Caenorhabditis elegans: one gene and its partners. The protein of the gene in region 3 interacts with the protein of the main gene of each other region in a pairwise test. Each region holds a gene or a part of one and is shown on either strand. Other genes may lie near its edges. The genes, in order: Y38F1A.2, ubr-1 and ubc-1.

Region 1 (9,868 bases), on a different chromosome or scaffold from region 3:
ATGAATAGATTGTGGAGGGAAAAGGCTTGATGGCAGAAAAGTAATAAAGATCGTAGATTCTGGCAGTTGGTAGTTTTATGAAAAACTGGAAGCATTTTGTGAAACTTGGGTTGCAGCCGACATTTCAAAGGTCCTCTTCCTCCAGCAGACCCGTGAACCGCCTCAAAGCAGCCGACACCCAACCGGTAGCAACCGACATATAGCTGGACTGTTGGTTTTTGGCAACCGACGTTTCACTGGCTTTGTATCTCACTATGTCAAAAAGCAGCCGACATCTAAAAGGTTGCAATTTTTGCAGGTTGCGACCGACATATAACGGGTCTCGACAAGGAAGGTATAGGTGGTCTTGAAGATATCGGTACCTAGTAGGCCCATCAGCCGTTATTGTAAAGCCTAGGTCTTACTTTAGTAGTAAAGGGAATTGGCTGCAAGTTCAGAGAAGACAACTTGGTCATCAGATAAGGATCGAAAAATGAGCATTCGAAAATGAAAAATTAGAGTTATGTATTTTTAATTTTTAAGTAGAGTGTCAAAGAAGTTGTCTACTAGAGAAATTTCAGTTTAAAATATTTAGGAATTCATTAAAAAACAAATTAAATTCAAATTGTGGGGAAAACGGTTTAAATTCGATTTATGAACTGCATTGAAAACAAATGAAACGACACATTGAAAACAGTTTCTACTAGCTATTCCTCTCCCCCTCCTCAGCGTCTACAAATGCCGACCGCGACCTACTTTCTCACCCAAAAAGAAACACAAAAGACATTCGACCAGCTAAGAAGAAGCTAAAGGCGAAAAAGAAGAAGAAGAAGAAGCCGTTGCCGCGCGCGGACAGACAAGCGGCTATCGGGTGTGGGAGGAGGAGGGGGCGACAGTTCGGAGAGGCTTACACTAGCATTTGAAAATGTAAATAGTGCGGTTTTGGTGGAGAGTTAGAGTCGTGAAGGGAAAAAAGATTGAGGCGAACGATCGAGTTTTGTCTTCTGGGATTGATCCGGGCATTTTCTTTCAGGAAGGCATAGGGGTCAGGTTTTCAGGGCATAGTGGTAGTTGATTGTAGTGAAGTTTATTAGGCAGTTACAGTGTATGAAATTGTAGATGATACTACTCGGCCAGTAAAACCAACCTCTGTGAGTTTCGGACCAAAAATTGTTTATATTTTGAAGATATGAATCTTTTTACCGGACTTTACTGGACTTACGACAATAAGCTCTTACAAATGTTGGAAGTAGGGCTCACAGTGGAGTGAGGTGCCAAATGTGGGCCTCATGTCGTCGTTTGGAGCGGCCGGCACGTTCGGGGTTTCGCAGCTTAGCGTAAAACTCGTAGTTTGGTGTGTGCGCAATGTAGTGCGAAAAGATGGTTATTTGGAAGCGACCGGCACGTTCGGGGTTCCGCGCCGCGCTACCTCATGGGAGCCCCTGTTGGAAGCTTGAAAAAATCACCAATAAAATTCTCGTTCTACTAATTAATGGCAATTGGTCACCACGGTTGTTTGTCTTAAGCCGACTGCCATCCACCACCCAACCAGTTCCGCTTTCCATGTCTATTAGCCGTCTCACACGCAGTAAGAACCAATGGCTATTATTATTATAAGATTCGAAGAAATTGATGTATCATTTACTTTCTTCAATAAGCTATTCATATACATAATTACTTTGGAGAGTGGGAGGCCAAGGGAATGAGACATATGTATGCATACACAGGTGATTCGCGTTTCATGTGCCACACGCTCCCTTTGAGTCGAGGTGTGCGAAGGGTGTATGAGGCGTGTGGAGGGGATGAACACGCGTCTAACGTGTGTGTAGCGAACGAAATTTTCGCAACGCGTGCTTTACGCGTGTTTTGCGAACGTTTTGTTCGCTACACACACGTTACACGCGTGTTCACCCCCTCCACACGCCGCATACACCCTTCGCACACCTCGACTCAGAGGGAGCGTGTGGCACATGAAACGCGAATCACCTGTGTACTGTTTCATAGAATTACAGTAAAATAGATGGATTTACACGGATTAAATTTAAAAAGAAAAGGATTGATTAGTTTTATCACTGAACTGTCTGAAACTAGATCCTAAATTATTTCAATTCCCAGTAAAGCCCACAGTTTACTGCAGAAAAAATCGCCCAGATAAACTGTTATCATAAAACTGAATTTTGAAAAATTCCAATTTAAAAAAATCTAATTTTCAGTCAGAAACGATTTTTTCCGGCAAATGGGCAAATCGGCCAATTGCCGGAATTGAAAATTTCCAGCAAATCGGCAAATTGCCGGAATTGAAATTTCCAGGAAATTCGCAAATTGCAAGAATTGAAAATTTCCAGCAAATCACCCAATTACCGTGATTGAAACTTCCGCCAAATCGGTCAATTGCCGAAACTGAAATTTCTGGAAAATCGGCAAATTGCCGGAATTGAAATTTTCGGCAAGTCGGCGAATTGCCGGAATTAAAATTTCCGGCAAATTGGCGAATCGGCAATTGCCGGAATTGAAGATTTCCGGCAAGTCGGCAAACCGACAAACAAAATTTTTGACAAATTGTGGGTTCGCACATTTTTTTTTTGGAAATTTCAGAATTTCAATATTAATCGGCAAAATTGTACGCATCCTATGAATGTTCCTACATCTATTTTGAAAATTAAGAGAATTTTATGAAAATATATTTTTAAAAAAACGGGAAAGCATTTCAACTCCGGCCGATTTCCCGGTGAAAATTGTTTGCCGCCCAACCCTGTATACTTAATTTTTACTAATTTTTCAAAACCCCAACATTTCGAAAATTCTTTTCTTTATTTTCGAAAAATCAGGTTTTGCGCAAAAACTGTGTTTCCGTCTTATGAAAAATCCCTTTAAAAACTTCCGGAAATCTGGCAATTTGCCAAAATTTAATATTTCCAACTATTTTGTTATATTTTTTAGGCGGCCTACTTGCCTGCCTGCCTCAAAAATTAACTAGAACCAACATGCACTTTCAGATGCGTTAAGTAGTCACATTTGCCTACCTGCCTGCAATGATGGCATTAACCTAAATACATTGAAACCTCTAAACACTGTCTGAATAAATATAAATGATGTTACATGCCCAAATATTTTATATCTTCCGCTTCATTAAAAGCCTTCATCTCGTCTTTATCTTTGTCGAACAACCCAACAAAAAACGAGATTCCCCTCACAATCGGAAATGGCGCAATTCGAAATGAAATGAGACATTTCCAAGTTGTCGTCCCCTTCCTTGAATGTCTCTTTCTGGGATGATGTCGAATATGCTAAGTTTATTGAAACCGAAATCGAATACCAAATGTGTTGGGTCAAATCACAGTGGGAACGAAAGCTGGGGGGTGATTTTGTACAAGAAAACCTGATTTCGGCAAGAAAAAAATTAATTTAAAGCTTCCTAATTCCTCGCTAAACCTCGATCCGCCATATACTCTCTGAGCCACCGGAACATGGCTCCAAACACCAGAATCCCAATGATACAGTCGTCGAGGAACCCAATAATTCCGTAAATGCTCTCAGGAACCATATCACTTGGTAGCAAGAAGTAGGTGATCACACAGATGAACACGAATCCGATGCGAACTCTGGAAATGGAGTAAGTTGGGGGAGAAGAGGGTGAGGATGCTTACTGGTAGACCAATGTGAAGATGTCATTGTTGAAAAAGTTGCGGATGAGGTAGGGGATGAGGATCGGGATGTCACGGATGTAGTCGAGTACCTGGAAAGTACATGTTAATGGGATATGGAACTCGGAATTCCCAACTTAAGTTCGAGCTGAAAATATTGATTCAAAACGTTACAATTTATCTCAAACTGGGCACGGAAAGAGCCCCGAGTTCCAGGAGCATTAATTTCACAGTCAACTTCTTGCCAAAATCTGGCACAACACTATACACACTTTTGCCCAAGTTTTACCAGTTTCTTTACCAAATTTTTTGGGTGAAACTTGAGCATACCAACCAGGTGTGCACGGCAAATTTTGAAATTTTCCGAGCTCGGCAAATTCGGTAAATCGCACTATTTTTCGAGTTTAAAAAGGGCCAAATTGATAGAATAATTGATGGAATTAACTGGTTTTTGTTAGATTTTTTTTTACAAAACTTTCAGTAAAATTTTTCATGTGTGCGGCAAATTTCAATGTTTGCCAAGTTCGGCAAATTTGGCAAGTGTACATTTTTGAAATTTACCGTTCTCGGCGAATTTGGCAAGTTTTCCAAGCTCGGCAGATGGCAAATTCGGGGAATTTACCAAGCTCAATAAACGGTAAATTCGGCGAATTCGGCAAGTTTTCCAGGCTCGGTAAATGGCAAATTTGGCAAATTCGGCAAATTCGCCAAGCTCGGCAAACGGCAAATTTGCCAAGCTCGGCAAACGGCATATTCGGCAAAATTCGCAAATTTGCCAAGCTTGGTAAACGGCAAATTCGGCAAATTCGGCAAATTTACCAAGCTCAATAAACGGTAAATTCGGCGAAATCGGCAAGTTTGCCAGGCTCGGTAAATGGCAAATTTGGCGAATTCGGCAAGTTTGCCAAGCTCGGCAAACGGCAAATTCGGCAAAATTCGCAAATTTGCCAAGCTTGGTGAACGGCAAATTCGGCAAATTTGCTAAGCTCGGTAAGCGGCAAATTTGGCAAATTCGGAAAATTTGCCGCACACCCTTGATACCAAGCTGTGACAAAATTTTTTGATAATCTCGATATTTTTTTTCTGTTTTTTTTTTACTTTGACCAAAAATTGAATATTCAAAATCTCACCGGTCGATTAATCGAAAACCTCCTGTTATAGTCATCGATCCGAATATTATTTTCCTGAATGTGATCATCAGTTTCTTCGGAGGTCCCCATTGTTGGCCAGTGGACTGGGAGAAGCATGTAGAACTGAAATAAACATATTTGTATAAATATTATATATCCACGTGGTGTCAGGATGTCTCACTGCGGTTTGATCTACAAAAAATGCGGGAATTTTTCCCCCAGGGAAATGTGACGTCAGCACACTCTTAACCATACGAAATCAGTTGAACAGTCTACGTCTCCATTCTCCCGCGTTTCTCGAAGATCAAACCAAAATGGGACACATTGACACCCCGTGTTATATGAAACTCTGTGAGCAACTTACAGTGCTTCTGCACATTGCGCAATCGCACGGCGTCACAATTGCCTTGCTCTGTTGCCAGTACTGAATGATACATTCACCTGGAGGAAAAACGGAAAATAATTGAAATTTAGAGCCCAGCCAAGAAAAACTTACAGCAGAAAATGTGCCCGCAATCGGTGAGCACAGGAAAACTGGCATTTGCAAGGCAGATGGGACATTCGTGGGAGCTTTGGTGTAGAGCTTCACTGATTCTCTGAAAATTTTAATAACATTTTTTTTCAAATTATCCGGTGAACTTTAAAAAATCTTACTCTCTGCGTAATTATTTGGTTTCGCTCGGCGTTTTCATCCATGCGGCTGGCGGCTCTCTGACGGCGTCGGGATCTGGAAAATGTATATTTTAGAATATTGAAAAAATGCTTTAAATTTCATTAAAATGCTCACACTTTAAATTCTGTCTAGTTTATTTGAAATAAAGATCAAACCAATCATAAAATCAATAATAGGCACCGCCCGCATCTTGGCATTCAACTTATCGAAATTTTTAAATTAACTCACTGCCACGCATCGAAAATAGCCTTCACAATGAAAATCACCGCAATTGCCATGGTAATCTGGGTGGCGAGCTCCACATCTGGATCCGATGGCCACAGCCAATCTTCGTCTGGCTCCGTGACGGTTTCGCTGACAACTTCGGGAATTGTGATATCTGGAAAATGAGTATAGTTGTAGCGGGTTACTGTAGAGGATACGGTAGGAATTTTATTAGAGACCGTAGGATACTGCACTTTACCAGGTTGTTACTGTGGTTCCAAAAGACTACTGTACTACTGCAGACTACTGTATAGGGAGCTAGGAATAATGTAGACGTGAATTAGGATTACTGTAGAAGTACCAAAGGTTTACTGTAGGGGTACTGTAGTATTGTAAAATCGAAACTGGAATACTTTATGTCTAAGTTAGGTATACAAACTTTCTAAATACTTTCTGCATGAATATAAGTTACGGTACGAGTTCTGTGGGTTACTGTAGGATAGAGATACTTGCAAAATGCTAGAGGGTTACTGTAATTGAGCTTCTTAGAGACCTCTATTACTGAAATTATTGAGAAAAAAACATAAAATTCCCCCATCATTTTCCCAAACTTACTTTCTGTAAATGGCGGGATCTCTGAACTTGTGGCAGGCACACCTTGCTCCATGATTTTTACTAGTTTTCTAAAATATTTTAATTTTAGAAACGTGTATTTAGCAAAGAAAATGTATAAAAGAAGAAAAAAAAGAAATACATTACGTGAACTCTCATGACTTGAAATTGCAAAGAGAAAACAACGAAATGCCACGCGTACATCTAACAGAAAAAACAAAGATCGAATCAAATCAATAAATCAATTTATTCCTTAACATTCTCATCATCGAAAGCGTGAATTAAGTACGCTCTTTAACAACACGAAAAGTTGTGTCCGGGATGTCGTCAATGTCTGAGTCGGATAGTTATCAATCGAGCCAATTGACAAGCGAGCCCGATCTTGTGGCGCTGGATGCCAAGGTAATTATAATACGGGGGGAGATTTTCAGCATTTCAGCTATTTTATAAGCTTATAAGTTTATGTGGAGAAAGTTAAAAGCTGCTCTAGCTGTTCTACCTATATTGGCATTGCTCTATATCATCCCAATATGATATGTTTCACAGAGAAAAAGACGGTTAAATTTGAGAAATGCCAAAAACTTTGCGAGACTTACTCTGGAAGTTTGGTCAAAAATTCGAATTGTTTAGACTGATTCAAGACAGTTCCAGTCGTTTTTTTGTAATAAATTGAAAATTTGCGGTCATTGAAAACTCAGTCAGTTTTCGGCATTTTCTCGAACTACACTGACTTTTTTTTGGATTTTCTTTAGCAATTTACTGAGAACCTAAGGTTTTTCAAATTAATTAAACGTCATCTCTTTGCAAGGCAGCCCAGAAAACTAGAGGATTTGAAAAAAGTGTAGTATGCCACGTAGCAAAAATCCATACTTTTCGGAAATGATTACGTGGCGGATTTTTTGTTGGAATATTTTTTACACCTTTATCGTTTCGAGAGTCATGAATTAAATAATTTTGCGGCTAGGTATTACGGCAACAATAAATCATGAGAATGCGTACTTGGTGTATTTTATTTGACGCGCGATATCTCTTAGCGAAAACTACAGTAAGAACTCAAATAACACTAGATATTTAAGCTCTTACTGTAGTTTTCGCTAAGAGATATCGCGCGTCAAATAAAATGCACCAAGTACGCATTCTCATGATTTATTGTTGCCGTAATAATATGAAATTCTTAATTTTCAAAATATTTTTTATTGGAATTTTGTGGCATTTTAAACTGGTTTTTTTTATTAAAAATTAGTTTAACTTCGTTGTAACGATGGCAATTTTAAAAGCAAAACAAATATAAAAAAAATTAAGAAAGTTCAAACAATTTTAAAAACAACAACATAAAAAACAAAAAAAAAAGCTCAGAAATTCTACATTAATTTCATAAAATCTAGAGTTTAAGTGTAGGATGACGTCTTTTTAAAACGAAAAACAACGCCCCAGTGTATCTTTCACATCTGGGTTGCCAAGAGAGCGCGGAGACCCAGCATGTGAAAGTAAATACATTGCGAAAGAGACGGAGAGGCGCAGAGACATAAAACCGCTTACATTTGCAGATAATGGCGGTAATGGATGGAACTGAAGAGCTGGAGAGGGAGATTGGCAAGATGATGGCTCTGCAGCAAGCGATTAGTGATTACAAGAAGAGCCATCAACATAGAACTCAAAGAGTATGTGATTAGCAAGGTTTATGAACACCCGTGCAAAATTTGAAAATTTCAGACCAAGGAGAAGCTTACGGATATGTCTAAAGACCTTACAATCACCGGGAAGAACATTGTTAAGTCGTGTGAAGAGCGGCTCAAGCAAATCTCGGATGTCACCGAGCCATACATCAAGTGAGATATTACAGAGAGTTTGGTAGAAAATTATTGAAATATTATACTTTTCAGCAGCGGAATCTCATCGGTGGAAGATCACACCTCCTCGGTTGTGGAGCGCTGCATTCAAATGCTCGGAGCAATTTCTGGACTTGGTGGGGCAATGAAGAAAACGGAGGGATTGTCTTCGAAAGTGCTCGAGCATCACAGAAAGCTCGCGATCATGGAGCACAAGGTTCGCGGTTTATTTTTCATCAGTTTGAAAGTAATCTTGTCAATTTCCAGCAAGCCGATGCAATTTCTCGCTACGAGAAAGCCGTCGGAGTTCAGAAGCTCGTCCGCGAGCATCCGGCTGGAGACCCACTGCACGAGCTCGCAAATCTTCTTGGCATTTTCTTGGCTCTCCAACAATCTCCGAATACGTCGGAGTACTACAAGAAAGTTTTCGATGGATTTGGAGGACGAGTCACCGCGTTGTTCGCCGAGATAGATCGTCCAAAGGTGGGGGCTTTAAAACTTATATAAAAAGCTTCACACTGTGACTTTTCAGACCGCAAAATCTCTCGCTACGCGTTCTGGCATGTCAACCCTGTCGAGCATGAGCAACGGAGAAATCAACTTGGAATCTATCAAGGACAACACTGAAATTCCAGTCGACACTTGTCAATAACTTGGTTCTGGTTAAAGCTCCCTTTTTCTTTTATTTTTTAAGTAAAAGAAATGAAGAGTTTGATAATTCTGCAGCACACAAAGACACACACGAAATCAGTTTAAAACGTCAAAAAAAACTATGAGGAGGCTCACTTTGTTTAATCTATCAGTGAATTCATCTTGCATTTTATCTCTCGAAACAGCTGACATTCTGTGGCGGAGCCCGGGGGATTCTTGTGTTTGGGAACAAATTTCAACTTTATTTTTTGATTCTTTTTTTTTGCTGTCATTCTGTCTGTTATGACGCAAGTCTATGGAGTTCCATCGTTTTTGAGGTTTTTTTTACTACCAGATACCGTATTTCGCTATAAGTCCGACTACTTAACTTTGAAACGTTATATCTCGGTTTATTTTAAAGATATTAATATACTATCAACTACGATATTATAGAAAAAGAAATAAAAAATATTTTGTCAGTTGACAATTTTTGGATTAAAAAAATGATAATTGAGATATAAGCTGTCAAAGTTCAACAATGGGGTGCAATTCAGTTTTTCGCCAACCCATCCGCTTCCTTATTACAAAAAATGGCTAGCTATTGCCCATTAGCATTTCCAATTCGCCCATTTCCTCAAGTTCCATTACAAATGTATTCATTGAATTGAAAACATGAAAACAATAACAAAACGATCGGGGTAGTTCTTATCTCTTTTTCTGATGTGCCGCCCGCCTGCCAAGACCCCCCCCCCCCCCCACCCATCCAACAACGGCATTTTCTATTCATACGGTTTTCATGTCATTGTATACGTAATTATACGATTTTATTTGGAAAAAAAACTATTGAATATGATTTGAAGTTTTAGTTGGCAGTTTTGTATATCGCACTGTGAAACAAGATTTCTATCATGAATCTGTACGTATTTCTGTTTTGATTTGTTTCCGGCAAATTAGCAAATCGGCAAACCGGTAATTTGCCGGAATTGAAAATTTCCGACATATCGGCAAATCGGTAAATTGCCGGAACTGAAAATTTTCGGCAAACCGGCAAACTTATAATTTGCCGAAAATGAAAATTTCCGGCAAATCGGCAAATTGGTAATTTGCCGAAAATGAAAATTTCCGGCAAACCGGCAAATCGGTAATTTGCCGGAATCGTGAATTTCC
Region 2 (9,447 bases), on a different chromosome or scaffold from region 3:
ACGCACCCATTTTGATTCGTCAGCTGATAGGCTGGCAATACTGGAATCGCCGCATTCGACAATCGTTTGCACAACGGACACTGATATTCTCCATTCTCGGTATCAACCATTTTATGCGAATGTTGACCAACTTGACGGGCTCTCAAACTCTCGCGAGATCGATTCGCTTCGGCGAGACTGAAATTAAAAAATATTTAGACTTTTTTGGATTATAGAATAATGAACCTTCGATAACACTCATAATGCATACTATGTGAACACGTGGAAACATCAACTCCATATTGAAGTGTAGCTGGTGCTGTTAGAAGATCACGTGTAGATATTGTCCCACTTGAAGCCGTCATGAGCTCTCCATTTTTGTTCTTATGAGTGAAAAGTTGAGATCTGAAAAAAAAAAGAAATTGTAAAATAACTTTTAAAAAACTCAATTAGCCAGCTTACTGTTGAATAAACGCTGCGCAAACCATTGGTTTTCCCTGTTGCGGTGCAATTATTTCATCCTCTTGACACAGAATACACGTCAATGTTCGGGGTTTCACGAGCTCCGCGTGCCACTTATTTGCACCGATACAAACCGGAAAATCGTGACCAACTTGCTTCACAACATCTTCATCGAAGAAATGCTTATTATCATAGTCGTCCTTCTTCACAACAGTTTCAGATTTTTCAGAAGGTGTCTGTGATTCGTCTTTCTTCTCTTCGTCCTCAATTTTCTTCATAAACTTTGACTGCATATTCGACATTTTTGCCATCGCTTTTTGTCTCATTTCCGCCGCCCTTGCAGCTCGCTTCGCTTTGATTTCTTCTTCGGATTGTGCTGGCTTGTTTTCAGGAGCTGGAGCTGCTTCAGGAACACCTGCTCTAGCTTTAATCAATTTTCTGTATTTCTCGACGGTCACTTCGAGAAGGATCGGACAAATCGATGACTCTGGTTTTCCAACAAGTCCTTCTAAAAGCGACAAAAGACCGATCGATTCCTCTGCACGTTGTGTAAATCCGAAAGATGGATTCTTTTCCTCTTCGTTTAACGCGATTCCGATCAGATATAGTGTTTTGTGGAAGAGACGATCACTTGAGAAACGGCTACGTCGAGCTGTTCTATCGATAATCAGACGAACAACGTGAATAAGAACATTTGTGGTAAGAATTTCGGGAATCCGCTCGAAAAATGTTTGAAAATCCGGAAGAATAGGCGGCGCACAAGCTCGAACCGACCTTAAATGTATTGAATTTTGATAGTAAAATATAAACTCAATAACTCACTTTTCCATTTTCGCACGAACTCTTGCCTGACTCTGTTCAGCAGCTGACTGATCACTTTTTGAATAATGCATGAAGAATGGTGAATAGGTTGGAAGGCTCGACTCTTTGCAATGGAATTGTCCAGCTGTGGTGGCCAGTGGCTTTCGGAAGTCTGCAACCAGATTTACTGCTTCATGAAGAGAAAGACGCTTCGAATTGATATCATGTGACATTTTCTGTTGAATCTGGAAATTTTAGAAGTTAATTTGAATAAAAACCTTCATTTTCTGTTTTATTATACCCAAAATGGCCGATAATACCTTAAAAACGAAACTTAATTTTATTTTAAAAGGCGGTTCAAGAAAATACAATTTCTTCAACTTTTCCTTGCCGCAGCGGTCGAATTTGTATTAGACTATCGTGTTATTTTTTACATTTTTCTTTGTTGATTTAGACACAGGCTACTAGTATTTAAGGAAATTAGGTCATCTTTCGAAATTTTGAACAGCCATAAAAATTATCTGAGAAATTTATTTTCCTTATGAAATTCGGTCTTTCGAGGCTTCGTAGTTAAAAAAGTCTTACATGACTGAACGTATGAGATCCAGTACAAAGAATATGGATAACTTCTCGTTTCATCTGATCCATCGGACGAGTCTTTCCAACTCCGTATGTATACCGTTCACAGAGAATCAGAATCAGACATTGTATGAACTCTTCAGCGATCATCACCAACGTCTTACTCAGATCCTCTGATTCCGGTTTCGCTGGTTTCTCATTCGCCTTGTCTTGTTCAAACTCGGATGTAGCCCATTTAAAGAGACGGAATCGATGAAGAAGGTGGAAAATGAATTTTGTTGACGGTGTGAGTGCAGCTCCTACTTGCATCATCAGAACATCACGATCGAACATCTCATTTCGACAGAGTGGAGAGAAATAATTATGAATCTGGTTTATCAGCGAAAATCCATTTCTTCTCCAAAGTGTCGCGTTGGATTGTGCACACAGGACGAGCACTCGGAGACTCAGTTCGTAGAGATTCGTCTCGTCCTTACAGTTGATAAGTTCTTTGATTCTTTCTTGATTCAAACTCGTATGTGAATTATTACTTCTATTCAACAAAAATCCCGTGTAATTCGAAGCACTAAAGAGACCCGCGATAATTCGAACAACCGGCTGATGGACCGAGGTGGATGATTTAAGCACGTCAAAATGTGATATTCGACATGATTCTCCGTTGATAGTGACCGTCAATTCATAGGTATCCTCCTCGGATTTTGTATAGACAGGTGGCATACGATTCATCAATTCAAGGCACATTATCATTAGACGATTATGAACTTCTTCCTGAAAATCCAATTATTTTGAGATTTTTAATTACTTCAGGAAAACTCACATTAGTTTCTGCCCATCCAATAATCATCGAAATCGCGTCTTTCAATCGTAAAAGGATATTGAACGCTGTTTCCCACTCAGATTCCCACACTTGATGCTCAACGGCTTGTCGTTTCACCTCATCCATTCCTTGCAGATGCTGCAGGAAAAGCAGAAAATCAGCGAATCCTTGAACAAATCCATCGATAAGTTCTCGATTCCAGTCGCTTTCCGATGGCACAGCATTCAGGATATAGGCCATATCTCGAGTGATATGAAGGGATCTTCTTAATTCTGGTGGAAATGAGCGACTTGTGAAATCAAATCTCGCGATTTTTCCGTCATTGTAATCTGAAAATTAGAGAAATTCAAATATTGGTTTGATACAGGGGAGGGCGGCTTTATTTCTATATTTCCGGCAAAACGGAAATTGCCGAAGTTTTCGTTTTTTCGGCAAATTGTGGTTTTGCACATTTCTTTTTTGAAAATTTGAGAATTTCAATTTCAATCGGCAAAATTGTACGCATCGTATAAATGTTCTCACATCTATTTTGAAAAGTAAGCAAATTTTATAAAAATAGCTGAAGAAAATAAGAAAAAATTTCAAAAAAGAATCCCAGTTTTAAGTGTTTCCGTCTAACAACTTCCGGAAACTTGCCAAAAATCAAAATTTCCGCCCACGTCTGGTTTGATATTTTCAAAACTCACACTTCACAAATTTATCAGTCTGATCCCGAATCGCTTTCGATATCACACTGAATGCTTGATCTTCGGCGACAAGTTTCCGAGCCAGACTAGGAACAGTCATGAATTGAACTGATAACCCAACAACTGAAACATCCATCTCATGATCATCTTTAATGAAATCCTCGTAAATTTCATTATAATGTAGCATAAAAGCCTTTGCAAATCGAACTTTCTGATCATAAATCATGAAAACTGTCCGCATGAGCATTTGATGCAAAATCGATCTTCCAGCTTTCCACATTTGTGTATCCTGGAGAAGAATATTCTCTAGCATTGTGAATGTTGAAGAATCTCGTGAAGGACCTGGAGATTCTTGATGTTCTGAAACTCCTGCCAACGCTGCTGTTATCTCTTCTTCATCATCCGCGTCAATTTCCATTTGCAGAGCTTCTCCACCAATATCGTCGTCATCCATTTCATCAACATCCATTCTTCCATCAAGTGCGAATAGTTCTTCCTCTTCATCATCCGGCAAAACCATAACATTTCTGATAATTCCGGCAACTAGACGTTGATCCTCTGACTTCATTTTCCGCGTGTAATTCTTTTTCAGTGCAAACTTTGAACTCAGCAGAATTTCTCCAACAATTTCGCGAAGGGGAGCTGAAAATAAAAACACGATTTCGAATAATGAAAAGAAATAAAAAGAAATAAAAACTAACGAAAAACATCCATCTGTGTGTTGAGCCAAGTAAGAAGGGAGATCGAAAAATTCTGAAGCGCGAAAAGCGTGGTATCCATAACCTTAACACTTAACGGTAGATTATGATTCGATGATCTTCGAATTGACGTTGGATCTCGAGCTGTTTTTCTCTGAACATCATCCTTAGCTTTGGTGCAATCAGCCTTACTGCCAAGTTTCACAGCACTTCGACCTTCTCGATCGACAATTGTGGCTACAAGCATCGCCTGATCCTTTGTACAATGTATGTACAATTCCAGAACTTTGATCACCTGGAAAAAACGGGGAAATTGAAGATTTAATTGAAATTCGGAATATTAATTACTAACAGATTCATAAGTGTGAGTTTCATCATTGTAAAGAACCGTCAAATATTGCTGTGCCTCATTTGTAACCTCTGGCTTCATTTTCTCGAAAATTTCGGGAAGTTTGAGATCATCTTTATGAGTGATCATTGAAAGGGAAAACTGTAAAATGATTTCCACCAGCTGTTCACATCGTTTTTTCAATTCTGGAGCCAACACTGCCGCCTCTTCATCGTCCTTTTTCTCGTGATTTGCACATGCGTAACCTTCTGTCCATGCATCTGCATCACCACAGTCACAATATCCCGAACCGGAGGAAGAGTGCATCTGGAAATTTTTTTTCAATTATAAATTGGATTTACTTAAATATGCGTGTTTTATCATTCATATTCGCTCAAAATAATCAAAAACTTTTCAAGATTTTGTCTATGTTGGTTTAAAATTTCGAGAAAAAGGGCAAGTTTCGGCTAAAATCTGAATGTTTTTTTTCAGAAATTTTCTGTGGAAATTGATTCATTTTGAGGCATCCTCACTTTGTATTTATGAGATTTATGAATTGAAACTTCAAAACACTGAAGACACATGACACATGTCCCATCAGTGGCACAATCCAGACATGTATACGTAAGTTCTCCGTTTTTAAATACATGGCCACAAATTTGTCCCCGTCTTGCAGGATCAACTCCGGCAATGCCATTCATTGCTTCCAGTGTGCTCTTTGTGTTCCGAACGTCTAGTACAAATGCACTGACCAGTGGGGCTAGGAGAATCTCTCCTTGGGAACCTGAAGCAAAATTGGCTTTTTAATATATATGTTTTTTTTTTCAAAAAAACCCACCTAGAATTCGTTCATTCGCGGCTGTATTGTCCCATGGCAAATCCGAATTCACTTCGAACACCTCTGGGACCTGTACAAGCCAGTGCTTGAGCAGCAGCTGGCGTACTTGGGCCCATTCACCCTGTCGAGCTGATTGTATTAAATCGACAATCATTCCATTAGTCGAACTGAAATCGGTAGCTTGATAAAATAGGAGCATTTCATCTAAGAAAAAGAGGATTCGTAAAAGAAAATAAAATATATTGATTATTTTCCGACCCCCCGATTATGCTGCTGATGACCATATCAAAATAAGCGAACGAGAGGACAAAAAGCAGTGATGGGAGGCAAAAATGATGACAGTGGACACTAGGAGAAAGTGAAGGAGATGAGAGAGAACGGGAGGATATAGATTTGCTTCTCTCTCTCTCTGTTTTCGATGCGAGAGTGTTGCCGCAGATAAAGAGCTCTCACGGACTCGGTGCAATGCATCGTGGATTAAATAATTCAACAATGAGGAAATTGAACTATTAAAAATATTGATTATTTTTACGTGTCAGCGAATTCACTGGCGAAGCAATAAAAAAAAACTTTTTTTTAAAATCAGACTTTAGAGCACGTGGACTTTGAATGTTTCACTCATATAACGTCAAAATAATTTAAAACTATATTTTAATAAAAGTTATTTGACTTTAAAAGCAATAAAATATACTTTTTCACCGAAAAAATAACTGATTTCGCGAAAAAAAACAATCTAAAAAAATAAAAATAAAACCCTTGGGAAGTGGATCGTGGCGAGACCCTGAAGGTGAGGCATGCGCCTTTAAGTGTTCGGACTACGGTACACAAATTTCTCTTTTTGTTTTCAATTTCCTAATTTGCGTGGATCGCTGAGAGTTGTTAGATTTTTGAGTTTGTATATAGTTTTCTTTTTTATTTTCATCAAAAATTAAAGTATTTCTTCGTGAAAAGTACTTGGTCAGCAGGAAAAAAAGGTTCTCCCGCGTTTTTACCCCTTTGTGATAGAAAACTTTGCATATTCAGAAGCTTGCTCATCGTTTCGATGATCGAGATCTTTCTTCACATTTCATAACTTTTTTAAAATATCAGTATAAAAAATGGATCAATATTATAAGTTGTAATCGAGAAGTTAGAATAGCAATAGAAACCACAAAGACATTCGGGCCCAAAAATATTTATATTTTCAAACTAACTGCAGCACATGAAATTATCTTCGATTTTTCTCCTTCACGCCGACGTCGCGTGCTCCTCCCAGCCGCCGGCCTAGTCTGCGGTGTTTTTAGGCCATCATTTTCGCGCGACCACCAAATCATTTTTCGAATCTCGACGCGCTCATTTGTGCACTCAAATGACTATTTTCTGCCTCTCTGTCGTTTTCTTTTTGTCAAATAATATTGCTGCCCTTTAAAAATATTAAAAATATCATTCCAGATCAAATGTTTGGAGGATCTGCACCAAAACCGTCGATTTTCGGAGGAACCGCTGCTACCACAACAGCCTCATCTGGATTTTCTTTCGGTAATTCGAGCACATCAACAGCGAACACAGGTATCGATCGATGAAAAATTCAACTAATTTATTTTTTTCGTTTTTAGGCGGAAACACGAATACTACCGGAGGTTTTTCTTTTGGATCCGCACAGCCGAGCACTGGAAGTACTGGACTTTTCGGAAACAGCACAGCTACTGGTAGGTTTTTGGTTTAATAAACTTGTAAAATACGCTCCCGTATTCAAAAAGTATAATTTTAAATTTTTCAGGCTCAATGTTTGGAGGCTCCTCTGCTGCAGCTCCAGCCCCAGCGTCTGCTGGAATCTTTGGAAATTCTGGTGCCGCGGCGCCAGCTCCCGCTTCAACGAGCATTTTTGGAAGTTCTGCAAATTCAGCAGCACCTGCTACAGTAACGTTTGGCGCAAGCGCACCATCAGCTGGTGCTGGCATGTTCGGAGCTAATAAACCAGCTGCTCCAACTGGCGGCTTGTTCGGATCATCCACAAGTACCGCAACAACTGCACCAACTGGCGGGCTTTTCGGTAGCTCAACTGCTGCGCCATCAAGTGGATTATTCGGATCCACGGCCGCTCCAGCAGCACCAGGAGGACTATTTGGAAGCACTTCCACCTCTACAGCGGCTCCATCCGGCGGCTTATTCGGATCTTCAGCTGCTCCAACTTCCACAGCCCCAGCTCCTTCTGGTGGTTTGTTCGGGGCTGCACCAGCTACTAGCAATGCTGCTCCAACCTCTGGATTATTCGGAAATTCAGCACCTGCTGCGACAGCTTCATCTGGTGGACTATTCGGCGCAGCTCCAAAGCCTGCAGCTCCATCGGGAGGTCTTTTTGGTTCTACCGCTCCTGCAACCACCGCTGCAACTACAACTGCCACATCAGGATTGTTCGGAGCACCAACATCTGCTCCTTCGTCCGCTCCAGCCACTGGTGGTCTTTTCGGAGCCTCTACTGCTCCCGCCGCTGCTACTGGAGGTCTTTTCAGCATTGGTGCTGCTTCAGCATCCACTCCATCTGTTGGATTGTTCGGTAATTCTAGTGCTTCTACAACCGCTGCGGCAGCCCCTGCCACCGCCCCAGCGGCAGCTTCAACTGGAGGATTGTTCGGAGCCACCACCGCCGCAGCCGCAGCACCAACCTCATCTACAACTGGGGGATTATTCGGATCTACCGCCGCTGCTCCGGCCGCTTCACTTCCAACCGGAGGTCTCTTCGGATCGTCAACTCCTGCTAAGACCCCAGCCGCACCAACAGCAGGACTCTTTGGAGCATCATCGACAACCACCACATCAGCTCCAGCTACTGGATCTTTGTTCGGAACAGCTCCAGCAACCACAACAGCTACTAGTGCAGCTCCAGCGGCTTCTACTGGAGGATTGTTCGGTGCTTCATCCACAACTACGCCTGCTTCTACAGCTCCGACTGGTGGATTATTCGGAGCAGCAACCACAACTGCTCCCGCCGCAGCAGCTCCGACTGGTGGCCTGTTCGGGGCTGCGACTACAACTGCACCAGCAACTGTAGGTCCGACCGGTGGATTGTTTGGAGCAGCAACTACAACAACACCTGCTACTGCCGCTACATTGGGACAAACTCCATCTACAGTGTCAGCAACTCCATCTCTTCCAACCACAACCAGCACTACTTCCACTCTTCCAAAGCCAGCAGAAGCTACTCCAACTCTTGGACTTGGCCTAGGGCTCACTTCAACACCATTGGCTAAGGGAACTGGGTACATTTTGGTTTACTTTTTAAAAATATAAAAAAAACTCTTAATTTCAGATGGACAACATCAGGACTTAAAGGAGCTGCAACTACATCTGCAGGCCTGAAAATTGGTGCAAGTGGAAGCGACACACTTTCTGAAGAAGAAATCAAAGCAGGACTCGGTGGAAATGATACAAAAGCCTTCTTCACCGCCCTTCAAGAAGTTGTCAATAGTTATCATTCGGAAATTGCGAAGCAGGAACGAGTATTCCATAATAAAATGCTCGAGCTTAATGCTTATGACCGTGAGCTCATTACACTCGAGCCAAAAGTTTTAGGATTGTACAATGAGATGGATGATTTGAGTGGAAGCTGCAAGAAACTGCATTTCAACGTCGCCTCCATGACTTCTGTCTTGAACGATATTGAGCAAAATGTTGTTGAGCTAGAGAACAAGCTGAGCCTTCCAGAATGGCATACTCTTGATTACAAATTCCCACTTGATAGCAGATTTGCGTCGAGACATGATGTTCAGAGAGTGCAAATGTACGTCAAAGTTATTGATTTTTAATGGATTAAATTTTTAAGAAATATATTAAATTTAGCTAAAAACTTCAGTTTTCCCAACTTTTTCTTTGTAAAAGCCGATGGAAATTGATTTTTTTTCATATATTGCCCTATTTGGCATGCTTTGGTTGATTATCTCACGCTGTTCCGTTGATTTGGCTCGATTTGCATCCAATTTTCGTAATTTTTGAATAGCTATCGACTTAAAATATGACTAAATTAACGAATTAACGCCAGATAAATAATCAAAATATGCAATAAATCGGGATAATTCGATAAAAACTATATTTCAGCCGCTGCGACAAAGAAAAAGTTGACAAAATTTCGCAAAATCCTGCCATAAAACTATCAGATTTTTTTCTTGTTGAGAGTTTTTGAATATTTAAGCAAAAAAATCCACAGGTTTTTTTTAAAATCATAATAACTAAAACTTTTTGAAAGCATTTTTTTTGTTTTTTGTTCCGAAAATACTTAACAC
Region 3 (10,469 bases):
TTTTTTTTGTTTTTTCCTAGGAAAAATAACTTTTTCTGTTTTTTTTTGCAAATCTTTTAAATTTAGCCCATTTTTTGTACCTGAAAAATGTTTTTTCCCCGAAAATTTCAAAATTTTCGGTTTTGGAATATTTCTTCTTGAGAAATTCTGAAAATATGAAATTTCTAGCCTAGCCCCATATCTCGTTTTTAATAGAAAAAATCTGAAAATTTTGTTTTTTTTTCACAAAAAAAACACTTCTCAGTCAGTTTCTACTTTGAAAATCTGAGCCATCACCTGACTCGAACTCAAAAAAAAAAAAAAAGAACAGCTGATTTTTCTTCTTTTCTTTCGATTTTTTCTCAAAAATCCTGAACCGAATCATGTCCCAGTGAGCCATGGGACATGTTTTTTTAGAAATTCCCAAAAAATCACGATTTTCAAAAATTTGAACATTCCGTAAAATCTGTAAAATTTCAGATTAAAAAATACATTTTTTTTTTGATTTTCTAATGAAAATTCTTATTTAGCGAAATTTTTATTTATTTATTTTTCCCACGGCCCGAGAAGTGGTACCTGTACGCAATTTGTCTACCGTATACCTGGACGTTTGGGCGCGTGTACCTCAAAAACGGTTGGTCCAGTTTTTTTGTGATGCATATAAAAAATGTCCGAAATTAAATTCTAAATTTTTTGGACCAAAGCTTTTTTCGTTATCACGCGCCCAAACCTGGTCTACACTCAAATTATCAGTAGAGCGCATTTGCATGGATGTACCACTTGCCGGGCCGTGTTCCAAATTGGTATATCGCTCAGTGTTTGCGTACTCCTGGAGCTACAGTAACCAGGAAAATTTTGAAAATCGAGCTGTGAACTTCTTTTCTTTTCTTCGGCTAAAGAATCGAGTATATCCACACAATTTTTCATTAAAAATCTGGAAATTTCGTAAAATTTGGTGTTTGGTCCGCAATCACTGTTTGCGTACTCTTGGAGCTACAGTAACCCGAGAAATTGAACGGAGATTCCCAATGTGAAGAAAAACTCGAGAATTTCGATTTTTAGGTCGAAAATTTGAAATTTTCAACTTAAAATCTATTTTAATATAGTTTTTGACGTGTTCCGCATTCCTCACCTTATTTTTTTTCCAATTTTTCTTTTAATATTTACCGATTTTTCAATAAAAACAATAACATCTGCTGCTGCTTCATCTTCAGAACTTTACACTTTTTTCTTCCTTCCGAATCATCTCTCACCGCTGCCAGTTGCTGTTTTGTGTATCACGTGAACAAGTCATGGTGTTTTTTGTTTTTGACCTGAAAAATATTTTGGGAAAAAAATGGAAGAAAATAACGAGTTTTCTCTCTCTTTAAAATCTATTTTTCTGCCTTTTTTCCCAACTTTTTTCCTAGAAAATCGAATTTTCAACTCAAAATTGGAATCTCTGTTCGATTTTGGCAATTTAACGGAAACTAGAAGTTGCTAGCTTCATTTTCGAAAAATTTCCGGTTACTGTAGCTCCAAGAGTACGCAAACATCGAGTGGTTGTGGGAAAAACACCAAATTCACGAAAATTCGAGATTTTGAGCTGAAAATTAGCCCTATGTCTAATCAAACAGTGCTGAACCCGAATTCCGTGACAAAAATTATCGGAAAATTGTATTGGGAGCATTTTCCTTAATTTTTAGCCATAGTATTGCTAAAAATTGGATTTTAAAAACTAGAGGCTCCTAGCTCAATTTTGAGATTATTCAGGTTACTGTAGCTCCAAGAGTACGCAAACACCGTGTAGTTGCAGACCACACACCAAATTTCACGAATATTCGAGATTTTGAGCTGAAAATTAACTCGTAAACTATTTAAACTATACTGAATCTGAATTTTCAACTGAAAATTTGGAAAAATGTGATTTCACAGCTTTTCCGCCGAAAAATCTCTGACAAGTTAACTTCAAATCAGCATTTTCGAATTTTCGACTGCAAATTCAGATTTTCCCTTCAATTTCGAAGTTTTTGACGGAAACTAGAAGTCGCTAGCTTGATTTTCAAATTTCTCGGGTTACTGTAGCTCCAAGAGTACGCAAACACCGAGTGATTGCAGACCACACACCAAATTTCACGAATATTCGAGATTTTGAGCTGAAAATTAACTCGTAAACTATTTAAACTATACTGAATCCGAATTTTCAACTGAAAATTCCAAAAATCAATATTTTCCAGATAATCTGCCGCCGTTACAATGGCCAAAAGTACAGCCAGTCGTTTGGATTTGTGCGGAAAATTTATTTGCTCAAAATTTTGCCACTATGCCCGCCAGAAGTCGCTGAGCAACTTCATAATCGAGATTTGGCAGTAATATCGTATTCCTACAGAAATGCTCCGCATCCGACGTTTGTGAGTGGAGGAAATCTGGAAAATTTGCGAAATTTCGAAGGATAAGTAGAAAAAACACTGAAAAATTGACCCAAATTCTGCAATTTTCAAGATTTTCCATGAAAAAATGTCTTCAAATTGAGAAAATTTGTGTTTTTCCATAAAAAAAACCGCGAAATTTCAATTTTACATCAAAAATCGAAAAAATTATCCAAATTCTGCTCAGAAAAGCCAATTTTCGAAGCTTTTCCATCAAAAAACTGTAAAAATTTGCAGATTGAGCAACCGGATAGGCAGAAGCTTCCAGATGGTCAACGTGTTGGTGAAGAAGTTGAATTGTTAGTTTTTTTTTTTTTTTGAAAATTTGAATTTTCAGGAAAAATGTGGATTTTTTGAGGTTAAAATTCTGAAAATTAAAATTCCGAAAAAAAAACTTCGGAAAAGTTCAGAAAAATTAATTAAAAAGAAAAAAATCCGGAAAAAATGTCTAAAATTTTTGAAAAATGAATTTACACAAAAATCTGAAAAAAAAATCACTTTAAAGAAATTTTTAATGCCAAAAAGTTTCAGAAAAATATCAAAAATTAAAACAAAATCTGTAAATTATTTAAGAAGTAATGAGTTTTCCAAAAAATTAAGAAAATAGTTTTTTTTTCTGAAATATTTAAATTAATTTTTAGGGATTTTTCAAAAATCTCAAATTTTCTATAAAATCCATAAAAATTCCCAAAAACTTCTCTCTAAGAAATCTATCAATTTCAAAATTTTTCAGAGTTTCCGGAGATGTGATGTTCGACGATGATATTAGTCCAGAAATGCGAGAAATGGTTGAAAATATGGAAAGAAAAAAGAAAATTAATTCGGAAAGATTAATGGAATTACTACAAAGAATACATCGAATTGATCAAATTTGTAAAAAAGTACGGATTTTTTTAGTCGAAATTGATTTTTTTATAGCTGATAATTAAGTAAATCAGAATTTTTACCTTAAAATCGTGAAAAAAATTGAGCCTAAGTTGAATATTTTGTACTGAAAAATTGGAAAATTTCGGCTTTAAATTTGAATTTTTCTGAAAAATATTATAAAATTTGCATTTTTCCAGAAAAATTGGACTTTTTTACTCAAAATTTTGATTTTTTGAAAGTTTTCAGTTAATCATTTCGAATTTTCCGGAAAACCTAAAATTCCAGTTTAAACTCAAAATTTTCACCGAAAACTTCAAATTTTTCAAATTTACCAAAAAATTGACATTTTCAGTGAGAAAATTGAAATTCCAAAAAAAAAAAAAAGATAAAAATCAAAAATTCACCGAAAATTTGAATTTTACTGAGAATTTCACGTTTTTTTGTAAAATTTTAAATTTTTGGAAAATTGATTTTTTTTTAGAAATTTTTAAATTAAAATTTAGAAATTTCCACTAAAAAAATCAAATTTCATTAAAAATTCATTAAAATTTTTTTTTTCACTAAAAAAGTTCGATTTGAACCAAAATTTTCTAATTTTCAGTTAGAAAATCGAATTTCAATGAAAAATTCCAAAAAATTCAAATTTTCAAAGAAAAATTTGACATTTTTGGCAATTTTCCAGCATTTTCATTTAACATAAACTGAATTTTTTACGAAACATTTTCGAAAGTTTCCAATTTTTACGGAAATTATATTCCAAATTTGCACTAAAATACGAATTTTTTTGGGAAATTCCAATTTTCTACCTAATTTTTCGATTTTTGCAGGAAGCTTGGCTGGAATCGTCGGCAGAAGTTCAACAACTCACACAAATTGCTCAACTTTTGCATTATTGTCAATAAATGTTAAAAAATATTTTCTTTAATTTTTTGATTTTTTAAAGGTTGCCGTACCTTTTTTCATACTTGTTCTAGCATTTTTCTGCATTTTTTCGAATTTTTAACCTAATTTTCACATTTTTTGCAGGAGTTAGGTTATCAATATGACGACGCCCAGCCGTAGACGTTTGATGAGAGATTTTAAGAAACTTCAGGTGAGTTTTGAAATTTTTGGCCCGAAAATTTGGCTTTCTTTGAACATTAGAGAACATTTGCAACAAAAATTGGTTTTTTCCAGAAAAAATTAGATATTTTTGGGATTTTTGATAAATTTCTCGTGAAATTTTTAAAATTAAAATTGCCAAAAAATCGCCGAAAATATCCATAAAAACGGCCGAAAATGTCCAAAAAATCGCCGAAAATTTCCAAAAAAAAATCGCCGAGAATTTTCCAAAAAAATTGCCGAATTTTCCAAAAATTCGTCGAAATTCTCCGAAAAATCGCCTAAAATTTCAAAAATATCGCTTAAAATTACCAAAAAATCATCGAAAGTTTCCAAAAAACGGTCGAAAAGCACAAAAAAAATGCCCAAAATTTCCGAAAAATCGTCGAAAATATCCAAAAGATTGCTCAAAATTACCAAAAAAAAAAAAAAAATTACCAAAAAAAATCGTCGAAATTACTGAAAAATCGCTCAAAATTTCCAAAAAATCATCGAAAGTTCCCAAAAAATCGCCAAAATTATCAAAAAATCGCCTCCAAAAAAATTGCCGAATTTTCCAAAAATTCGTCGAAATTCTCCGAAAAATCGCCTAAAATTTCAAAAATATCGCTCAAAATTACCAAAAAATCATCGAAAGTTTCCAAAAAACGGCCGAAAAACACAAAAAAATTGCCCAAAATTTCCGAAAAATCGTCGAAAATTACCAAAAAATCGTCGAAATTACCAAAAAAAAAATCACTTAAAATTACCAAAAAACGGCTCAAAATCATTAAAAGATTGCTCAAAATTTCCAAAAAAAATCGCTCAAAATTCCTAAAAAACTGAAAATTTTCCAAAAGAAAGGTTTCTTTTAATTTCCAAAAAAAATCGCTCTAAATCCCCAAAAAAACGACCAAATCTTTCAGGAAGATCCACCAGCAGGAGTATCAGGTGCACCAACAGAAGATAATATTCTCACATGGGAAGCAATAATTTTTGGACCACAAGAAACCCCGTTTGAAGATGGAACATTCAAATTATCACTGGAATTTACTGAAGAATATCCAAATAAACCGCCAACCGTCAAATTTATTTCCAAAATGTTCCATCCAAATGTGTATGCGGACGGATCAATTTGTCTGGATATTCTACAGAATCGATGGTCTCCGACGTATGATGTTGCCGCAATTCTGACATCGATTCAGTCGTTGCTCGACGAGCCCAATCCAAATTCACCGGCCAACTCACTTGCCGCACAGCTTTATCAAGAAAATCGACGGGAATATGAGAAACGTGTTCAGCAGATTGTTGAGCAGGTACACAACCCTGAATTTTGGATGAAAATCGGCGAAATTAGAGCTCAAATATTGAAAATTTGGCAGTTTTTGACCCGAAATCGAGAAATTTCACCCCAAAAATTGAAATTTGGCTGAAAATCGATAACATTTAAGTTGAAATACGAAAATTCTTAAATTTTCATCTAATGTATGCAAAATTTGGCTTTTTGTGGTTCAAAATCGTAAAATTTTACCCTAAATGTGGAAATTTAGCTGAAAATCGATGAAAATTGAGTTAAAATTAAAAAATTTTGGAATTTTTATGCCAAAACTGAAATTTTGAGAAAAATTAAACGTTTGGCTGAAATTCGGCTGAAAATAGGCGAAATTTTTTGCGAAATATGAAAAATCTGAATTTTTATGCCAAAATTGAGATTTTTTTTGCGAAAAATTGCTGAATTTTGGCTGAAAATGGCTGACATTTCAAGCAAAAATAATTTTTTTTTTTTTGAATTTTGCAAAAAAGAACCGAAATTTGAGGCTAAAAATTAAAAATTAGAAATTTTTGGCTTAGGTTCAGGCTTAGGCTTGGGCTTAGTCATTGGCCTGGACTTAAGCTAGGCCTAGAAGCCTAGGCTTCGACGAAGCTGAAAAAACACAAAAAAAGTTCCAAAAATTCTATAATTTTTTCCAGTCCTGGCTCAATTTCGGCGAAAACGAGGGCGACGCAGTGCTCAAGGATGACGTGGAAATTGAAGAAATTGCTGCTCCAGGAGCAAATGATGCAGACGATGACCGTATGGATGAAGGAGCCAGTGGATCGAATGCTTAAATTTTCAGGAATTTTTCTGAAATTTTTCTACCCCCAAAAATCATCTGAAATCAAAAGCTTTTCCCATCATCCCCGTAAAAGAAATTTCGAAAAAAAATCAATTTTTTTTTTTTGAAATTTTTGAATTTCCCCCCACATTTTTCTCTCAACACAATCGATCCCTTTGAAAATTTTTTCTTCTCGTTTATTCATTTTTTTTGTATTTTTTCCGGAACACTTTAAGATACGGTAGTTTTTTTTTGTATATATTTATACACCCCAGTCATCTCTCTCTCTCTCTCTCTCTCTCTCTCTCTGTCTTTTGTTGTTTACATAGATGAGGATTTTTTCCCGGTGAAAATTGGCTGAAAATCGGAAATTTTTGACCTTAAAAACTGAAAAAATTGTGAAATTTCAAGAAAAAATCACGATTTTTGACTGAAAAACAGCTAAATTTTGCGGATTTTCGGCCTTTTTTAGTGAAAAATGGCTAAAAATTGATATTTTTAGACCCAAAATTTGTGAAAATCTGAAAATTTCGACCAAATAGCTGAAAAATTTGTGAATTTTCGAAAAAATCATTTGGCATTTTTTAAGTCAAATTTTCACTATGTTTTTGTATGAAAATTCTGAAATTTTGAATTTCGATATTCCAACAAAATTTTCAGAGTTTTTAAGTTTTTTTTTGCTGAAAATCGCCATTTTTATACTCGAAATTTAATTGTGAAAATCGGAAAATTTTAGCCAAAAAATTATAAAAGTTGGAATTCTAACTCAGCTAACTTTCAAATTTTTGTCTGAAAATTCAATGTTTTTTTTTCGTCAAAAATCACCAAAATATTGCTCCTTTTTTGGCTGGAAATTCGAATTTTTCACTTTTTCCCCCAATTTTCATCATTTGCAAAAAATCCTCTTTTTTTTTCGTTTTCCCACGTTTATTAATTGATTTTTTTCGGATTTTATTGATTGATTTCCAACCATAATTGTCTTTTTTTTCTTCAAATGGCACCTTTTTTCTCTCTGTCTCTATGTCTCTGTGTCTGTCCCATCCCAATTCGTCAATTTTTCGACGTAAAAATGAATAAAAAATTTTGATGGCAAACTTTTTTTTGGAAAAGTTGCATTTTTTCCAAAAAAATTTGAATTCTCACAAAATTTTGTGCTCCAAAATCCGAAATTTGGAGCTTACAAGCCTACACAGGGGTCCAGAGCTTTAAAAATTCAAAAATTCAAAGGTTTTTGATTTTGGATTACGGAAATAAGACGTAAATTTCTGTTTTCACCAACATAATGGGACAGTAGTCCCCATAATCTAGTGGGTACTTCAAAAAAAGGTCCAAAAACTCGAAAATTGTAAGTTTTTAACATTTCCAACAAGTTTTTCTTACCAAAAACTTAAAATAAAAATAGTCTGCAGCTAGCGGGAATCGAACCCGCGGCCTTCTGCACCCCAACCAACTCTCTTACCGACTGAGCCACCGCGACACTCATTTTTCGAAAGTTTCTCAAATTTTCCACAAAATAGTTCAATCGACGCAGAATTTCACGCTGATCATTTTTGTAGTTGACAACTTTTTCCAAGCTTTCACCGTTCAATAGTTATGAGGGTTTAAAGTTTAGTGTGAGAAAGGGGGAGACGCAGACAACGAGACAGTCTGGGTCTCTCTCTCTCTCGTAGGTTCAAACTTTGAAGGCGCTTAACTCTGAAACTAGATTAGCTATCAAAAAACTCCCAACTATAAAAGTATCTAATATTTTAAGCTGAACAGCTTTGCAGTTAGCAAGTTTTTGATAGCTCTAACGAATTTCGAGTTTTCCACCAAAACCCATGTTTTCCCCCGACTGCAAAAACGCGCGCGAGTACGAATTCATTACTCCGATATATTCTCATAGTCCAAGAAAAATATTTGCTCATTTGTTTTCCGACGTGTTCCATCTTAAGAAAATCACATTGTTCTCGTATACGAGAGCAGGAGGTCGAATACAAAAAATAAAACGAGCGGCCAGGGGGAGAGTGACAACAACACAACCGTCGTGTATTTAAGAGGTAATCTGAAATTTTTTCAGATGCTGGAAATTTAATTATGTGAAGTTTTTAGTTTTAGTTCTAGTGTTTTGTAAAATTTTTCCGCTTATAACTTCAAAACCAGCGGAGCTATCAAAAAGTTTCTCATTACAAAATTATTCAGCTAAACGTTCTACACATTTCTATAGTTAAAAATTTTCTGATAGCAAGCCTAGTTGCAGAGTTACACGCTTTCAAAGCTTGGGCTTACGAGAGAGATAGAGGCTGAGAGAGACGCAGACTGTCTCGTTGTCTGCGTCTCTCCCTTCTCTCAAGCCAAACTTTAAACCCTTATAACTATTTAACGGTGAAAGCTAGAAAAAAGTTGTCAATTGCAAAAATTTTCACCGTAAAATTCTGCGTCGATTGAAGCATTTTTTGAAAAATTTGAGACACGGTGGCGCAATCGGTAACAGGGTTATCTATGGCGCAAAAGGTCGCGGGTTCAACTCCCGGTAGGTGCAGAGATTTTTCATGTTCAGTTTCTGGTAAGAAAAACTCAATTTTTGAATTTTTACAACATTTTTGAAGTACCCACTAGATTATGGGGGCTACTGGACGATTGAGTGGCGGAAAAAAAGAAGTTTCAAGACTTATTTCCGTAATCCAGAATCAAAAAACAAATATTTTTTGTAGAAATGCAGAATTTTGAATTCTTAATCTCCGGATCCCACGCGGGGAGCTTGTAAGCTCCAAAATGTTGGATTTTAAAGTACAAAATGTAGGGAGAATTAATTTTTTTTTTTTTTGAAAAAATTGCAAAAAAAAATTATTTAAAACCTTCAGTTTTTCAAAACTATTTGAAATTCTATCTATGACGCAGAAGGCCGCGGGTTCGATTCCCGGTATCTGTAGAATATTTTTTAAATTTTAGTTTTTATTGAAAAAAAATAGACTTTTTGGAATTTTTTGAAGTACCCACTAGATTTATGGTTCTTTTCTAAAATTCCCTCGATATGTGATCTACAAATTTGAAGACTAAATTCATAGTTTCTCATGACTCCATTTGTACCTCGTAACTCCAAAATAAAATTCATATGACGCCCTGTTTATGTCCTCGGCTTGTAACATTCAAAAATCACACTTTCCTAGATTTTATACGTTATGTATGTGGAATAACATATTTAAAAAGATACTATATTTTCAATAATTAAAAGCCCAGAGCCTGTTCTTGAAAGCCAAAGCTTAGAAGTCTGAGCTATAAAAAAGGTCTACAATCTAAAACCATGGCCTCAAAGCAAGCTTGAAAATTATCAAAATTATCAAAAATTTAAAACTCTTTTCTAATTGAAAAAAGTGAGCAAAACATGTTGTCAATCTACGAATCTTAACGCACGTCACTTGACATTAAGCACCAACCTACAGTCATTTTTTTTCCTTCCCTACATCATTCCATATTTAGCTTGCCTGCTCATGCTCCCAGCTATATAACTTTTAAGAATAATTACCTTTAATGGATTATCTATTGTCCAGTGCAATTATAGTCCATCTTCCCACTTCAAACAATTATCGCATCTGGCATTTCTCCTTTTCAAACATTGAAAAATGAATTCATTTCCTTATAGTTTTTCTGACACATTATCTGACGTCCGTTGCTACATTTTTTCTTTCGGTGGTTTTATTTGAGTACATATGAATTTCAAGCACGTATTTTTTGTATTAACATGTTTTTTAAACCCCTGACGCGTCGAAGTGATCAGTCTTTTCTGCGAAAAAATATTTAGTTAGTTTGGATCCGTGAATTTTGTAGTTTGTAGTTTGGTCACTAGTAATTGCTTAAGAAGCATTAGTTTAGTAATCGTGATATTTGTTATCTCCACCCTGAAATTCCCTATTCCAGGTAACACATATTGTCAATTGACTAAAACACAATGAAATCTTTTCTCTCAATTCTTCTGATCTCAATAACCATATCATCAGTGATTGGAGCTATCGATGGCAAACGGAGACCAATGAATCGCAACAGTTATTATGAGTTCTTG

The links.
Region 1: the proteins of ubc-1 (region 3) and Y38F1A.2 interact in a two-hybrid assay, tested with the Caenorhabditis elegans proteins (one study listed by BioGRID).
Region 2: the proteins of ubc-1 (region 3) and ubr-1 interact in a two-hybrid assay, tested with the Caenorhabditis elegans proteins (one study listed by BioGRID).

What each region holds. Positions count from the first base shown.
Region 1 is NC_003280.10:12,951,409-12,961,276, reverse strand, and holds Y38F1A.2 (E3 ubiquitin-protein ligase RNF170), read right to left. Parts: upstream 6,320-9,868; 5' UTR 6,298-6,319; coding exon 6,246-6,297; intron 5,806-6,245; coding exon 5,655-5,805; intron 5,481-5,654; coding exon 5,408-5,480; intron 5,350-5,407; coding exon 5,250-5,349; intron 5,195-5,249; coding exon 5,118-5,194; intron 4,877-5,117; coding exon 4,754-4,876; intron 3,716-4,753; coding exon 3,627-3,715; intron 3,582-3,626; coding exon 3,395-3,581; 3' UTR 3,254-3,394; downstream 1-3,253. Other genes in the region: Y38F1A.1 (Exocyst complex component Sec10), read left to right, coding at 6,564-6,644, 7,790-7,903, 7,956-8,071, 8,126-8,288, 8,339-8,554, 8,604-8,723.
Region 2 is NC_003279.8:3,811,455-3,820,901, forward strand, and holds the start of ubr-1 (E3 ubiquitin-protein ligase ubr-1), read right to left. Parts: upstream 5,356-9,447; 5' UTR 5,343-5,355; coding exon 5,189-5,342; intron 5,135-5,188; coding exon 4,884-5,134; intron 4,678-4,883; coding exon 4,375-4,677; intron 4,318-4,374; coding exon 4,026-4,317; intron 3,967-4,025; coding exon 3,325-3,966; intron 2,968-3,324; coding exon 2,639-2,967; intron 2,590-2,638; coding exon 1,828-2,589; intron 1,488-1,827; coding exon 1,264-1,487; intron 1,216-1,263; coding exon 442-1,215; intron 385-441; coding exon 226-384; intron 178-225; coding exon 7-177; intron 1-6. Other genes in the region: npp-11 (Nsp1_C domain-containing protein), read left to right, coding at 6,625-6,736, 6,784-6,876, 6,948-8,427, 8,478-8,948. UniProt on the Caenorhabditis elegans protein: E3 ubiquitin-protein ligase which is a component of the N-end rule pathway. Recognizes and binds to proteins bearing specific N-terminal residues that are destabilizing according to the N-end rule, leading to their ubiquitination and subsequent degradation.
Region 3 is NC_003282.8:4,098,740-4,109,208, forward strand, and holds ubc-1 (Ubiquitin-conjugating enzyme E2 1), read left to right. Parts: upstream 1-4,280; 5' UTR 4,281-4,296; coding exon 4,297-4,347; intron 4,348-5,260; coding exon 5,261-5,650; intron 5,651-6,305; coding exon 6,306-6,443; 3' UTR 6,444-7,524; downstream 7,525-10,469. Other genes in the region: C35B1.2 (SWIM-type domain-containing protein), read left to right, coding at 2,196-2,369, 2,625-2,686, 3,121-3,268, 4,082-4,156; nlp-89 (Neuropeptide-Like Protein), read left to right, coding at 10,359-10,469. UniProt on the Caenorhabditis elegans protein: Catalyzes the covalent attachment of ubiquitin to other proteins.